4 linked regions of the Solanum lycopersicum genome follow. The protein of the gene in region 1 interacts with the protein of each later gene in a pairwise test. Links are inferred from orthologs where the notes say so. Each region holds a gene or a part of one and is shown in the gene's direction. Other genes may lie near its edges.

Region 1 (3,849 bases):
AATTTACTTCACGTACAAGTACCCCCCACTTGAGCAAAATGTTCATAATATTTTTTTAAAAATAAAAAATGCATAAATTAATCTTCAATATTTTCGATAATGATTGTTAGTAAACTTTGCACGTTTCTTAGAAAATAATATTTGGTAAGAACATTAGTATAATGTTATTCATGATATGCTTATATATAACAAGAATTAATTAAATATATATATATATATATATGTTTTTGGAATAATGGACAGATAACGTTGAGAATGCCGAGATCTCAGATTCAAATCACTATTTATAAAAAAAAAATCACTAAATAATTTTTTCTCATCTATCTTAATTTTGGCGGACACGGTTACCTGCTATCCATTATTGTTGAAAGGTTACAAGTCGAAGAAGCTAGTTAGAAAAAGTTTCTAAAATAAGAAAAATACAAAAAAGTGGAGAAAAGGGTGTGGAAGTAGAGAGTGGTGAATTGGAACTAGTCTCATTTGAACTAAGTCTATTCAAAAAAAGTAAAATTATTTCAACTGTTGTATCCGTACCTTTTTTTCTCTGTATGCAAATGCAGAAAAGCACATTGCTATTCACGTATCTCTGATCCTATCCCAGAAATTTTGTATATTTTCAAACTTAAGATAATTTTAAAACAAAATTTTATTTTATCTTGGTGTAAAACGTAATTCACTTATCTTTTAATAAATATAAAATTACAAATTGATAACTTTTAGTTAGTACTAAGGTGATAGATAGCATACGTTTCTTTTATATGATGCTGGAAAAGCTTAGTAAATTTTAAGATCAATTCTAGAGCACTATATTTTTTCAAATTATCCAGTAATAATTATCAAGTGATTTATCGAAAATGAATTTAAGTAATCATTACCATGTCATCTAAATCACATCTACATATACATATTTAATTTCCTTTAAACGTTGTGTTTGTAATTTTTTAATATAACAAATTACTACATAAGTTAATAATAATCTGATGATGAAAAATTTAATTTATTGATAGTGTATTAAACTCACTTTTAATTATATAATACTCTTTGATTTATACGAATTAATTTTTTTCTTTCTTAAATTTATATCACTGGAGTAAATAATTGGCTAATTACGTAGAATGATTTTGGAAAAAATAAAGTATACGCAGGCAGTTGTAAGTTTGTAAATATTTATTTTTACAGTCGAAGTTAAACTCTTATAAAAAGCAACAGTTTTTCACCTTCCATTCCATAGTAACCCAAGTGTGTGCTTCTAACAACATGGACCCAGATGCTTTCTCGGCGAGTTTGTTCAAGTGGGACCCAAGAGGTGCAATGCCACCACCAAGCCGGTTATTAGAACCGGTGGCGCCACCACAACCTCCTCCATCTCTACCACCACCACCACCTCCTCAGCCGCTCCCAACATCATCCTACTCCATACGGAGTACGAGGGAGCTCGGAGGACTAGAGGAGTTATTTCAAGCGTACGGCATACGCTACTACACCGCCGCTAAGATAGCGGAGTTAGGGTTCACTGTGAACACGTTATTGGACATGAAAGATGAAGAACTTGATGATATGATGAATAGCCTCTCGCAGATATTTCGGTGGGACCTACTCGTCGGAGAGAGGTACGGTATCAAAGCGGCGATTAGAGCTGAATGGCGGAGGCTGGAGGAGGAGGAAGCACGGCGCCGCGGACACATTTTGTCCGACGGTGGAACGAATGTCCTTGACGCTCTATCACAAGAAGGTACCAAAATTTCAACTTCTCAATTACATGCACTGAATTGTGCTAATAATTTTGTTTCATGCACTGTTATATTGATTTTTAAATTTTCCTGCTTGCATGCAATTCATTGTTTTTTCAAATTTGATTTTATTTTAGTATCACTCACTTTTATAATTCACTTTCATACCCCACCAAAATCATTGCACATAAAATGAAAGAGATCGATCAAGTAAACTAGTAAATTGATTCGTGTTAATGATGTACCAGTGACAATTGTTTATTATACGTTTAAAATGATCTTATACATATGGTGAAAATGGTAAAGTAGGATTATCGGAGGAACCAGTGCAGCAGCAGCAGGAGAGAGAAGCGGCAGGAAGTGGTGGTGGAGGTACATGGGAAGTGGCTGCCGGTGGTGGTGGTAGGATGAAACAAAGGAGGAGGAAGAAGGCGGGGAGGGAGAGAAGAGGGGAAGAGGATGAGGAAACGGAGGAATTAGGAGAAGATGATGAAGAAAATATGAACCAAGGAGGTGGAGGTGGAGGAATAAGCGAGAGACAAAGGGAGCATCCGTTTATCGTGACGGAGCCTGGTGAAGTAGCACGTGGCAAAAAGAACGGCTTGGATTATCTGTTCCATCTCTACGAACAATGCCGTGATTTCTTGATCCAAGTTCAGACTATTGCTAAGGAACGAGGTGAAAAATGCCCTACGAAGGTCACCTTCCTTTTCTCTCTTTCTCATTTTTTTAAAATTATAAATATCGAATACGAAATAATAGTCGAGCTAGGAAAGGTCGTGTATAAAAATGAATGTGGTAACAGAGGACCTCGTTAATTGGGTCTAAGAGTAACCATTAGCTGTCCACAAAGTAAACTCGACAGCTACTGATGGGCTCAACCATAAAGCTTGAATTTCAGCTCTTGCCCCATTACTCCATTTGTACTTCCACTCAAGTACCTCCACCTGTAACTTGTCCTTACCATATACATAGTCTACACATTGACCATCTCGTTTTGATGAAAGCTAGCATGTATCCAAAAAAAAAATAGTTAGGTAGACGTAATTTAAGACAATTACGTAAATTTATCGCATATTGATTCACGAGTGTGTTGAATATGTAGGTGACGAATCAGGTGTTCAGGTACGCGAAGAAGGCAGGGGCAAGCTACATAAACAAGCCCAAAATGAGACATTATGTGCATTGCTATGCACTTCACTGCCTTGATGAGGATGCTTCCAATGCTCTGAGAAGAGCTTTCAAGGAGCGGGGAGAGAATGTTGGGGCATGGAGACAGGCGTGTTACAAGCCATTGGTGGCTATAGCGGCTCGACAAGGCTGGGATATCGATGCAATCTTCAATGCACATCCTCGACTAGCCATTTGGTATGTCCCCACCAAGCTCCGACAGCTGTGCCATTCTGAAAGAAGCAACGCGGCTGCAGCTGCTTCTAGCTCCGTCTCTGGTGGTGTTGCTGATCACCTGCCACATTTCTAATTGTGCTTCTGAGGATGACTGCAGTTTACAAAGTATATCTACTGTGTTAAATCTCTCCGACTTCCCTACTTTTTTCTACTCTTGATGTAATCTTTCAGCTTAAAGATCAAAATTTTCTGCATAACATGGAGGTCCCTCATTTCACTTCTGCAAATTCTGTAACTGCTTAAAGTTTAAGATCTCTAACAGATAATGGTTCAACATAATGGAGAAAAACAACAGAATAGATCTCTCATTGCACAAGTATTTACTGTCACTTTGATGTACGATCGTCAAACAAATTGTCGATGAGTAACAAACCAATGCGCTAATAAAAATTCTCAATTCAAGGGATCAAGAAGAATGAGTAGGGTATTTCCATAACACATCACCCCAGGTGCTCTGCCCATCAGTTACCTCCTTAATAACAGATGCTACTTCATCAACATTCACACGAATCTGCTGCTTGCTGTCTCTTTCACGGATCGTCACAGAGGATGCTGAATCCACTGTAATGGCAAAGGGAACTCCAAGTTCATCTGTTCTTGCATACCTTTTCCCTATTGACGTACCTATAGCACAGAATCACATGGTCAGTGAAGAATTATATAGTCGGTCGACCCAACTTGTATAGCACTTGAGGCATAGTTATTGTATTAG
Region 2 (3,490 bases), on another chromosome or scaffold:
ACTTTTTACTCGTCTAGAGAAGAAAATAAAATTCCTTAATAAGGAAGATAAATTCACAAATAAATAGAAACAGTTTTCCTCTATGCAGCCTCCCAAAATTATTTGAAAATACTAACTTTTGAAAGTTGGTAAATTTAAAAAAAAAAAAATTAATTATGGTAAGTTTTAACTGATCATGATTTCATCAAACTTCAATTTAAGGTTGATTTTTAATCGATATTTTTCAAAAAATTAACCTTTTGGATTTAGTTTTTGACATTCTTTTAGCGTCATTTGATAGAATATATTGGAAAATCTAACACTTATATTAGTCCTGGTATTACTTAAATCTTTTATTTAGCAGGGTGTATAAATAAATGCATAACAAACCATGATATTATCCAATATCCATATATGGGCTATTAATACATGGGATAACTACCCTTAATATACCAAACCAAACGGAGGATAAGAAATAATTCCTCGTTTCTTTTGACATGTTATTTATTTTTAAAATATTTTTAGTTATTACTTTTGACATATTAATAAAAAATAATTATTTTTTTTTATGTTTTATCTTTAACGTTAAATACTTATTCTCCAAATCATTTTCCAAACCCTAATACTCCCTCTAAACAACTATAACAATATTTATCCACTTTATGAAATCAATAGATAATTTTACACTTACTACTTAATTTTACCCTTATCATTTACTATTTTAGTCATTTTCCCATTATATCAACACAAAGTATTTATTATATTCAAGAGGTGATATAAGAAAATTACATTTTTTAATATAGTTTCTAAAGAAATATACAAAGGTCAATAGCGGATGAGTATTAAACATAATTTTTTTCTCAATAGGCATGTCAAATGAAACCATAACGAGTGAAATGAATAAAGAAAATAGCTAACCTTACTAATAAATCGTATTCTTATACACTCTACTCACTAAAAGCAAACCTAGAACTCCATAGTTAATCAATCATAATAACTTGTCTCTTTATTTGTGTGTGTGTTGTCTGTTGAACTACAGTCTGTAGATTGTCCTTCCTTCCTCGGCCTTGACAAGAAAACACTGAAATGATACATGTATCCATCACTCCACCAACCAAAAAATATATGAAGAAACAAATGCTGCCAAAATTCCTATATAAACTCCTAAAACAAACCAAGAATCCAAAAGACAAACAGAGAAGCCAAAAAAGAGACTTTCCCTTCTAGTTTTCTGCCAAACATTCATATCTCTTTCCTCATTAGTGAAAAACTCCACCTCCTTAACTCACATGTCCACTGAATTTGAGAAACATAAAAGAGTAAAAATAACCTTAACTTTCCTTTTTACAACTCTCCTAGCTTCAAACTCAAAATCCCTTTTAGTATTATCTCCAATTATACTCTAAAAATGGAAGCTTTTCATCATCCCCCTATTAGCTTTCACTTTCCCTATGCTTTTCCTATCCCAACACCAACAACCAATTTTCTTGGAACTCCAAATTCATCATCAGTTAATGGAATGATCATCAACACTTGGATGGATAGTAGAATTTGGAGTAGACTTCCACATAGGCTTATTGATAGAATCATTGCTTTTCTACCACCACCTGCTTTCTTTAGAGCTAGAGTTGTGTGTAAGAGATTCTATGGACTTATTTACTCTACACATTTTCTTGAATTGTACTTGCAAGTTTCACCTAAGAGGAACTGGTTCATTTTCTTTAAACAAAAAGTACCAAGAAACAACATTTACAAGAACGTGATGAATAGTAGTAACTCAGGAGTTTGTTCTGTTGAAGGTTACTTGTTTGATCCTGATAATCTTTGTTGGTATAGGCTTTCTTTTGCTTTAATCCCACAAGGGTTTTCTCCTGTTTCATCTTCTGGTGGATTAATTTGCTTTGTTTCTGATGAATCTGGATCAAAAAACATTCTTTTATGTAATCCACTTGTAGGATCCATAATTCCCCTGCCTCCAACTTTAAGGCCTAGGCTTTTTCCTTCTATTGGTTTAACTATAACCAACACATCTATTGATATAGCTGTAGCTGGAGATGACTTGATATCACCTTATGCTGTTAAAAACTTAACTACAGAGTCATTTCATATTGATGGTAATGGATTTTACTCAATATGGGGTACAACTTCTACACTTCCAAGATTATGCAGTTTTGAATCAGGCAAAATGGTGCATGTACAGGGGAGATTTTATTGCATGAATTTTAGTCCTTTTAGTGTGCTTTCTTATGATATAGGGACTAATAACTGGTGCAAGATTCAAGCCCCGATGCGACGATTCCTACGTTCACCGAGCCTTGTTGAAGGGAATGGTAAGGTTGTTTTAGTTGCAGCAGTTGAAAAGAGTAAACTGAATGTGCCAAGAAGTTTGAGGCTTTGGGCATTGCAAGATTGTGGTACAATGTGGTTGGAAATAGAAAGAATGCCACAACAATTGTATGTGCAGTTTGCTGAAGTGGAGAATGGACAAGGGTTTAGTTGTGTTGGACATGGTGAATATGTGGTGATAATGATTAAGAATAATTCAGATAAGGCATTGTTGTTTGATTTCTGTAAGAAGAGATGGATTTGGATACCTCCTTGTCCATTTTTGGGAAATAATTTAGACTATGGTGGTGTTGGTAGTAGTAATAATTATTGTGGAGAATTTGGAGTTGGAGGGGGAGAGTTGCATGGATTTGGTTATGACCCTAGACTTGCTGCACCTATTGGTGCACTTCTTGATCAGTTGACATTGCCCTTTCAGTCATTCAACTGATAGTTAAACTGTTTACAAGTGGGGTATCAGTAGTACTAGTACTATGAATAGTGTTTCATTTGGACCTTAATTAATTGTATTTTTAGTGTTTAATTATCTAGTGTTTTTATATTACCAAGTCTTTAGTAAGAAGAAAGTTTGTACTCTACTATTGTTGGTTGACTTATTAATATGAGTTTTACATTGATTTGTGCTTATATATAGTTTAGTTAGGTATCTTTTTTTACTTCCTTTTGAAAATACCAAAGTAGAAAACCCTAATCATTAAAACAACAAGAATATCGTTATGTTGTCAATTTTACCGATGATTTTATTAGCATATCATAGAGTATTCGACATATTTACAGTACACAACCATCTTACAAATCTAATTTTCTAACTTTTTTTTGTAAATTTTAACCAAAGTTTACGATGGATAATCGATATATAATTAGTTTATTATACAAGCTAAAATTGTTAGGATCCCTCGTTTTGATTTGATTCTAAGTCATTTTTTTGCCACGTGGAATATAATAACCTCATTTGCTATAAGAAAGTTAATTTCAAAGTTATAAATGAAAATTAGCTTCTGGTTGATTAGTTGGTTTTTCTCTTGAAATAAGTGAAAAGTATGAAAAAAGAAAAAGTAAAACTTGTTCATCTCATAATTTTTAAGAGTGAGAACAAAATCAACTACATGCAATTATTGGATGTTAATGTTAAATTCTACATAATTTCTACCATTCTAAAACCCTT
Region 3 (4,284 bases), on another chromosome or scaffold:
TTCCTAGCCACTAAGACATTTTTTTTAGTGTTGATCTTATTTTGATATCAAGATTCAATTAAATTTATATTTGTGCAAGAGTTATTTAAGATATAAGTATATATACGTTTATTTCTAAAAATTCAAACTCAATTCTCTCTTCGTAACTAATCTTATCGACATTATTATTTAATTACAAATGTGGTAAGTTATTATGTCCAATAGAGTAAAATAAAATACGTGTAAATAATCTATTTAGATTTTTAGGATTCAAATATCTCTTTTCACGATTTCCTTTTCATAATTATAGTTGCCAAAACAATATTTATCAATTTATGTGATTTTCTTTTATACATTCATATTTATACAATTCAGACAAAAATCAGTTAAAATTCGAATTGTAAAATTCTGAAGTTATGCTCTATATAATAATTTTTCAAATAAAAAGTCGAATGAATTCCTTTCGCGCATATTTCAATAAATAAATTATTTTACTTTTAATTTAACATTTTTTTATAACATACATAAAATAAAATATATGTTAAAATTAATATTTCTTAAATTGGTATTATTTTTTATTCTTATTATTATTATACTAAAAAGAGACTGAAAATGCAAAGCCAAATAGGAATATCCGTCGACACACGTTATTACGTAATCAGATTTCCATATATTATAAAATGTTGGTATTTTGGTAAATATTACGTTTTCTGAGGTTAAATGAATTCCACTAACCTAACCTCTCTATACCTTAACCAGCCCTTAACCCAAGGTAAACCCAAGTTGTTGAGCAAAAAGACAACAAAAATTTAAAAGAATCCATACATACAAATTACAAAAATAATTACAAAAACAAAAATGTAACCAGTTCCAAAATAGTATTCAAAATTAATTTAATTGATTATCAACATTAAATTAAATTAAAAATTTAGATATTTAATTTTTTTTTTATAAAAGTACAATAAATTGTAAATTTTCTCCATATCTATATGATAAAAATATACAATATTTATATTATTTGATTTCTTAAAAGAAGAGTGATAAATTTTTTACCAGTCAAAAAATCTTTTATAGCGTTCACATAATTACTTGTAATGTAATAATATAGTCTCACTATAGAAAAATAATCACATCAATTATAAAGGTATTTATTTATTTAAATAATAATGATATCTATTAATCATGATATGATAAAATAATAAATACTTATTATCATGCTATAACAAGTTAAATTACCATATTTTAGATTTTGAGTTTCACAAGCTCATTAATCATCGCACATTTTTCATTTTTCATTTATATTACTTCTTTATATGACTTTTTTAATTTCATATTCATAATATATATGTCAATTTACACGTATATAATTTATTTATTATTGCTCATCAAATACATTAATAGAATCCATTAAAACTTAGATAAATAGAAAACTCTTTTAAGGGGAATATAATTTACAAAAATATTGCAAATTTTTTCACAAAATTAATTTTTTTTTTTCAAATCTCTAAAAATTGTTTGTTGTCATTTTAATGTAATAGGAGTAAAAAAAAAAAAAGGGAAAAAGGAGAAGCACATAGAAATAACAGCTGTTAGGGCTTGGACTAAAAATGCAAACTGCGTGAAAATTCACACATACACACACCAGACAGCATATATAGAGAGAGATTCCGGCAACTTCGGAAGATCGCCGGCGACTTTTCCGATCTTATCATAGGCCCACAGATTCGCGCCAAAATCCATTCACCATTACCCTCAGCAAAATTCTCGGTAGCTTTTTTTATCAAGAAAATAAGGAAATTATACATACAGGAAAAAAGAGAGAAAATTTTTATAGATAAAGTACAGTTGTGTGGGACAGAGAGGTGTAGAGAGTGGTGAGGTAAGGGGGGTGGGTGGTTGATTTGAACCTTGGGGATCGGGGAAAGTGGGAAATCTTGGGTTTTAGGAAACTACAGGGGTTTCCACTGAAATTAATGTTTCATTACTTATTTTCTTGATGATGGGGTTCTGAAATTAATCAATTAAATTTCAGGTGAGTTGCAACATTTTTGGAGGAAATAGAATTTTTTGCTGAATTTTCAAGGGTGCATGCAATCTGGGGGTGGAGCTCAGCAAGGTGGTGTCGCCGGCGCCGGTGGTGGACATGGGCGGAACACGGCGGCATCAGCCTCAGCTTCTCCAACATCATCTTCTTCTGCCTCTCATATGGGGTTGGATCAGCAGCAGCTGCATCAACAGCATCAGCGGCAGGTTAGGGTTAACAACTTTTTTTCTGAATTTTACTTGTGCTTTTGAGGAAGAGGGGGTGTTTCAAGTGGCATTTTGTTTTTTTCTGAAGTAGGATTGATGTTTGTTATTCTATTTTGGAAGTGGGTTTCGCATAAGACATCAAGTTCTTTTTTTTTTTGTATGATGTTGTTCAACACTAGGTTTGAAGTGACATGAATTTGCTTGCTATGTGAAAGACATTCTTTTTCTTGTTCAATTAGCACTGAGATGCCAGCTGCTAAACTACTTAAGCTTTGGAAGTAGGAGGAATTTGAAAATCTTTGTATGAAGGAGAGAGTGATTTGCTTTTTGTAAGAAAGAGCATTTTTTGTGCTGAAAAATGTATTAGCGCTTGTTGATTTTTAGAGTTATCCAAAATTCACTTTTCAGAGAATTAACTCTGTGTATCTTAGTCTTCCCTCTAATGGAAGTGTTAAGTTCCACCAAGTACGTATTGTCTAGCATGTTGTGATTCCTATTTTTCTTTTTCTTGATAGATAGTTCCACCTTTTCTTCCTTATTTTAAGTGCTCGTCTCTGCCAGGTCTTTAATATTTTAACCTTGACCTATTCAAAAGGTTTATATTTCCAACAGTATTGGAAGTTAATGTGATTCTTAGCTGCAATGATGTTCTCAACTCATACCAGATTAACTGTCATTGCTTCGGTTATGGAATGCAATCTTCTATTTCGTCCATCCACATGACACATTTTGTCCATGTGATTCTTAACTGCAATGATGTTCTCAACTCATACCAGATTAACTGTCATTGCTTAGGTTATGGAATGCAAACTTCTTTTTCGTTCATACATGATATGACACATTTTTTCCATGTGATTCTTAACTGCAATGATGTTCTCAACTCATACAAGATTAATTGTCATTTCTTAGGTTATGGAATGCAAACTTCTATTTCGTCCATACATGATATGCCACATTTTGTCCGTGTGATTCTTAACAGCAATGATGTTCTCAACTCATACCAGATTAATTGTCATCTCTTAGGTTATGGAATGCAAACTTCTATTTCGTCCATACGTGATATGCAACATTTTGTCCATGTGATTCTTAACTGCAATGATGTTCTTAACTCATACCAGATTAATTGTCATTTCTTAGGTTATGGAGTGCAAACTTCTATTTCGTCCATACATATGACACATTTTGTCCAAATTTGATACTTAATGATACTCTGAAAAGTTGTAATTGTCCTCATTTCTAAAATTTTACTGTATTTGATTTCTGAGTTGATTATCCTTAACAGGAAACACATTTATTAAAAGTGAACTGAAGAAGACGAATTGCAGCACAGGACGAAATAAGATGTTGCTTAACTAAACCAGAGTATTTTTGTCCAATATGTGCATAGAATGCTGCAAATTTCCCGAGAAATTCTTTCATGCTTTTGACTGGCAGTATTTGTCCTTCAGAATGCTGCAAATTTCCCTAGAAATTCTTTCATGCTTTTGACTGGCAGTATTTAACCTTCAGCATTATCAACTTTGTCAGTCATACCAGTTTCTCTCGAGTTTCTTGTATGCTATATTGTTATAATATTTTTCCATGTACTTTTGTTGCGTTGTTTGCTTCCAACTACTGATGTCTGGAGAGATTGTTGTTCCTTTTTTTAAATTATTTTTGAAACAATATTTTACCAGGTATGTTTTCAAATAAAGTGTCAAAACTTGTTATGTTGAATCATGATAGCTGCTCTTTTCGAACTGATTTGTGTTTAATCTTAGTGTCTTATTATGTTCCCCTGCTGAAAATATCGTGGTGGCTTATTGTCAAAAATAAGGAAGATCACAATAATCTAGGTCTTATTTAAATTACTCACCTTCTTTTATAAATAACTTTTACATATCACTTATCGGATATTCGTTTTGTAGTCATTACAACAACAGTTACTTAGAAGGCCTGAAGGAAACGAAGCTATTCTGGCCTTCCAGACTGGCAGTCCCCATGGAATTTTAGGTGGGGGTAATTTTGTTGGACCTTCTGGATCCATGCAGCTGCCTCAGCAGTCGAGGAGGTATA
Region 4 (3,569 bases), on another chromosome or scaffold:
CCAATTTCTTCTTTAACTAGGTAACAAATGATGATCTGGAACCAGCTAATACAGAAGTCTAGGCAAAATTAGAGGGCCAGGATAACATGATTTTTTCCGTGTATCTGTTTTATAATTTGTTTAGTTGCATTTTCATCATCATTATAAGTTCCTAAGATTAGGAGAAGATCTCCAGATCGAGGTTACAACATTTTATTAACTAGTGTAAAACTATCTTTATTATTATTGCAGGCATCCCGTGAGCACCAATAGAAGGATATCCAAAAAACTGAACTTCATTATTTTCGTCTCTTGTAGTTGTTGTTATGAATCCTTTCCTTGGCTTTTCAAGTTAGATGAGTTTTGATCTTCTTTCCAACTATTGCTTGAGCTGGACTGCATAGAACAGAGGACCTTCTACTATGTTTAGGTTTCTCAATTTCGAGAAGCACATAGATTGTGATAGTATTTAGTTGGTTTTCTTTTTCAGCAGTATCTGTTTTCTCTGTGCTTCATCTTTGCCTTAATTTGTTTGTGTTAACAGGGGGGCATGCCCAACAATGTCCCAGAGAAGAGTATACTTAGAAGTGAAACAATCAGAGATGCAGGGATGTTGTCTGTCGCTGCTCAGGCTCCTGTATCTACCATGCCTTTCAAAGAACATCATTTGAAACAGCTTAGAGCACAATGTCTTGTGTTTTTGGCTTTTAGGTATGTAGGATAATGAAGTTAGATTCTAGTGTTTGTCATTATGCAAAGAAGTTTTTGCTTTCGGCTGCCACAGTTTTCAATATCTCTTCACTTATAGGAATGGTTTAATGCCAAAGAAGCTTCATCTTGAGATTGCACTCGGAAACTTCTATCCGAAAGAAGGTATCTGCTGCTTAATAGCTCTATTTTTTTCTTGCTCTGATTCAAATGTTATATAATCTGTTTCATGTGCTAATGTATGGTGTTCTATAGATCGCAGAGAATTGGTTGACCATAAAGGAAGGGAGCAACTGGTTACTGACCAAGGCAGCGCATCTGAAGTCACACGGACATTTGGAGGAGCTGGCGAAACTGACAGGATTTCTTCTGGTCCTACACCTTCTGGAATTCTTACCGATACAAATTCATCAATGGAGGCTGAGAATGCAAACTTGATGGAAGATAAAAATGGTCAGCTTGATCCTTCTGAGCATGCTGACGAAAGGAGACCCCAAAGAAAAATGAGAATGATTCAGGATGCTGAAATGCCCATCCAGGATGCTATAGAATCACAGGCATCTGCTCTTAGAGGAGTTCCGACTGATCCGAAATCCTTTCCTCCCTATAATCATGAGAATGCTCCTGCAAATACTGAACAGCTTGGAATGTTTCCTCAAGCTTCCTCTGTTATGGGCACAAGCAAGCAAATGAAGCCTGATCTGAGTGGTAGGAGTGGAACTGAGGCTTCAAAGGTATCACCAACTGCCTCCGCCAATACCCATGGATCGGGTCTGCTAATGAGAGATAATCATACTGGTCAGTCTCAAAATCTTGTTGATAGCAATGCTCAAGGAAATCGACATGCTGATAGTAACTTACCTAGTTTACCCTTGAGGCAACAGTGGAAATCTGTTCCTGGAGTAATTAATCAGAGTCCTACAATGATGCAAGTGAAGGATTCAAATATAACGCTGAAAAATCTGTCACAAGGTCTGAATAATATAAGAATTTCACCTCTTATCTATTTCCTTACAAAAGATCACCTTCCCCCCTTGGTTTTAGCTTTGGGGATCTAAGTAAGACGAACTTCTGTTATAACTTCCATGCACAGATGCAGATACCACCTTTGTTTTACTTGCTTTTCTTTTTCTTTGCCATTATGGTGTGGTCAAGTCCCGTCCATGGGATTGATGTTCCTGTGTGCTGAGTGTACATACATATTTCTCTTTGTATGATTAGTTATTGTTCTAACATCTGCACATTGAGTTCTAACATCTGTGCACCAAGTTCATTTACAGTGCAAGAAACAGATCAAGAGGATGATAATATTTCAGCATCCACGGATAGGTTATCATCTCCAAGGCATACAATGCTGGAGAAATGGATTCTGGATCAACGGAAAAGGAAGCTTATTAGTGAACAGAAATGGTCGAAAAAACAGCAAAAAACAGAAGAAAGAATTGCTGCTTCTGCTGAGAAGTTGAAGGTCTGTTATTGAAAATCCTTCTTCCTTATGAGATGCAATGCTCTTATCAGGATTTCATGTAGACTGAATTATGGGGTGAGCTTTGTTGATACTGATTAGATTGGGTACTGTCTTAAGGCTTACTTCTGGTGGAATATATACAAAGCTACTCTTCATCAAAAAATTGGATATATACAAAGTTACTCTTCATCAAAAAATTCCGAAGATTCTCAATTGTTTCTTAATTCCATTTTGAAACGGTCAAAGCAACTGCCGACTGTGTAGGCTGTGCAGATGAAGAAAAACTGTTTAGTTGGTCATTTTTCTACCTTAGCTGCAAAATGTTAAATTAAACTGCATAATGAGCGCAAAATGATGTCATTGATGCCAAGATAATAAGCAATTGAAGCTGGCATCAATGACTTTAATGTTGAATAGGTCTTTTCTTTATGGATCTTGAGTGAGTGTATGAGTTACATTATCCCTTAAGAAATGGATTTCATTAAACCTTTGCACAAGCTATTTTTGATGCTTTAGACCCGAAGATTTTTGAAAAGTAGACTTGCTTGTATTTTTGGATATTTCTACATCCCATGAGAATTGGGTACTTATACATGGAGTCCTATGACTAATTAAGGAAAGAGAATCAATACAATAAAATACAATGGAATAACATATTCTATTCTCCCATTATTGAGCTTTTCAATCAACAATGTCCTCCAATCAACACAAACCATTGGATGATATGCTCTTCCAGCATGTGATACACATGTGAGAACTATTATAAGCATCTTTAATGTCTGTAGATTGCTGCGACCTGATTATCTGATAAATGACTCTTACATCCCGGTTAAGATCGCTCGCATGTGATAAATACTCGTCTTCCTTTATGTGGCAGGAATCTGTGAGCTCCTCTGAGGATATCTCTGCAAAAACGAAAAGTGTCATTGAGCTGAAAAAGCTTCAATTGCTGGAACTGCAGCGTCGCTTACGGAGGTAATCAGTCTTGGCTTACTTGCTTACTTTTTATGTATATCTAGATTTAGGGGTTCTAATCATCCCCAACCCGCTCACTCCGTATACCGGTTGGGTCATTACCCACTTGTTATGTTTACTCAACGGGTTGAGTTAGAAATGACCCATCAAACAATTGAGTCGAAATGGGTCAAATTACTGCAACCCGATGGGTCAAAATGTAACCCAACCCAAACAAGCAAATCATATTAGTAAAAGGAACTATTTCTTGAAACTCGGTTCTTTTTTCATGGCAAACAAGTCTAATTGATCAAAGGTAATTAAGCTAGCTAATCTAAGAAGTTTGATCTATTAATCATTTTAATTAAGGATGAAATGAAATCTTATAAAGTACTACTACTGGGTAGATGCATGGTTGGGCCACAATACTCTTAAAGAGTAGTTCTCATATATTTTTTTA

Evidence for each region.
Region 2: the proteins of FALSIFLORA (region 1) and DOT interact in binary tests that used the Arabidopsis thaliana proteins (3 or more experiments, as listed by UniProt). The link is inferred for Solanum lycopersicum from reciprocal best matches to the Arabidopsis thaliana genes LFY and UFO.
Region 3: the proteins of FALSIFLORA (region 1) and ATP-dependent helicase BRM interact in binary tests that used the Arabidopsis thaliana proteins (3 or more experiments, as listed by UniProt). The link is inferred for Solanum lycopersicum from reciprocal best matches to the Arabidopsis thaliana genes LFY and BRM.
Region 4: the proteins of FALSIFLORA (region 1) and chromatin structure-remodeling complex protein SYD interact in binary tests that used the Arabidopsis thaliana proteins (3 or more experiments, as listed by UniProt). The link is inferred for Solanum lycopersicum from reciprocal best matches to the Arabidopsis thaliana genes LFY and SYD.

What each region holds. Positions count from the first base shown.
Region 1 is NC_090802.1:63,961,723-63,965,571, forward strand, and holds FALSIFLORA (FLORICAULA/LEAFY-like protein), read left to right. Parts: upstream 1-1,191; 5' UTR 1,192-1,257; coding exon 1,258-1,732; intron 1,733-2,036; coding exon 2,037-2,428; intron 2,429-2,835; coding exon 2,836-3,210; 3' UTR 3,211-3,334; downstream 3,335-3,849. Other genes in the region: glycine--tRNA ligase, mitochondrial 1, read right to left, coding at 3,544-3,761. UniProt on the Arabidopsis thaliana protein: Probable transcription factor that promotes early floral meristem identity in synergy with APETALA1.
Region 2 is NC_090801.1:61,733,328-61,736,817, forward strand, and holds DOT (DOUBLE TOP), read left to right. Parts: upstream 1-1,189; 5' UTR 1,190-1,387; coding exon 1,388-2,755; 3' UTR 2,756-2,952; downstream 2,953-3,490. UniProt on the Arabidopsis thaliana protein: Component of SCF(ASK-cullin-F-box) E3 ubiquitin ligase complexes, which may mediate the ubiquitination and subsequent proteasomal degradation of target proteins. Considered as a meristem identity factor required for normal growth of the young floral meristem.
Region 3 is NC_090800.1:82,012,280-82,016,563, forward strand, and holds the start of ATP-dependent helicase BRM, read left to right. Parts: upstream 1-1,427; 5' UTR 1,428-1,746; exon of another isoform or gene 1,747-1,858; intron 1,859-2,011; 5' UTR 2,012-2,067; coding exon 2,068-2,229; intron 2,230-3,138; exon of another isoform or gene 3,139-4,136; coding exon 4,137-4,284. UniProt on the Arabidopsis thaliana protein: ATPase subunit of a multiprotein complex equivalent of the SWI/SNF complex that acts by remodeling the chromatin by catalyzing an ATP-dependent alteration in the structure of nucleosomal DNA.
Region 4 is NC_090810.1:54,116,455-54,120,023, forward strand, and holds part of chromatin structure-remodeling complex protein SYD, read left to right. Parts: intron 1-523; coding exon 524-690; intron 691-787; coding exon 788-852; intron 853-942; coding exon 943-1,659; intron 1,660-1,967; coding exon 1,968-2,155; intron 2,156-3,032; coding exon 3,033-3,130; intron 3,131-3,569. UniProt on the Arabidopsis thaliana protein: Catalytic component of the chromatin structure-remodeling complex (RSC), which is involved in transcription regulation and nucleosome positioning.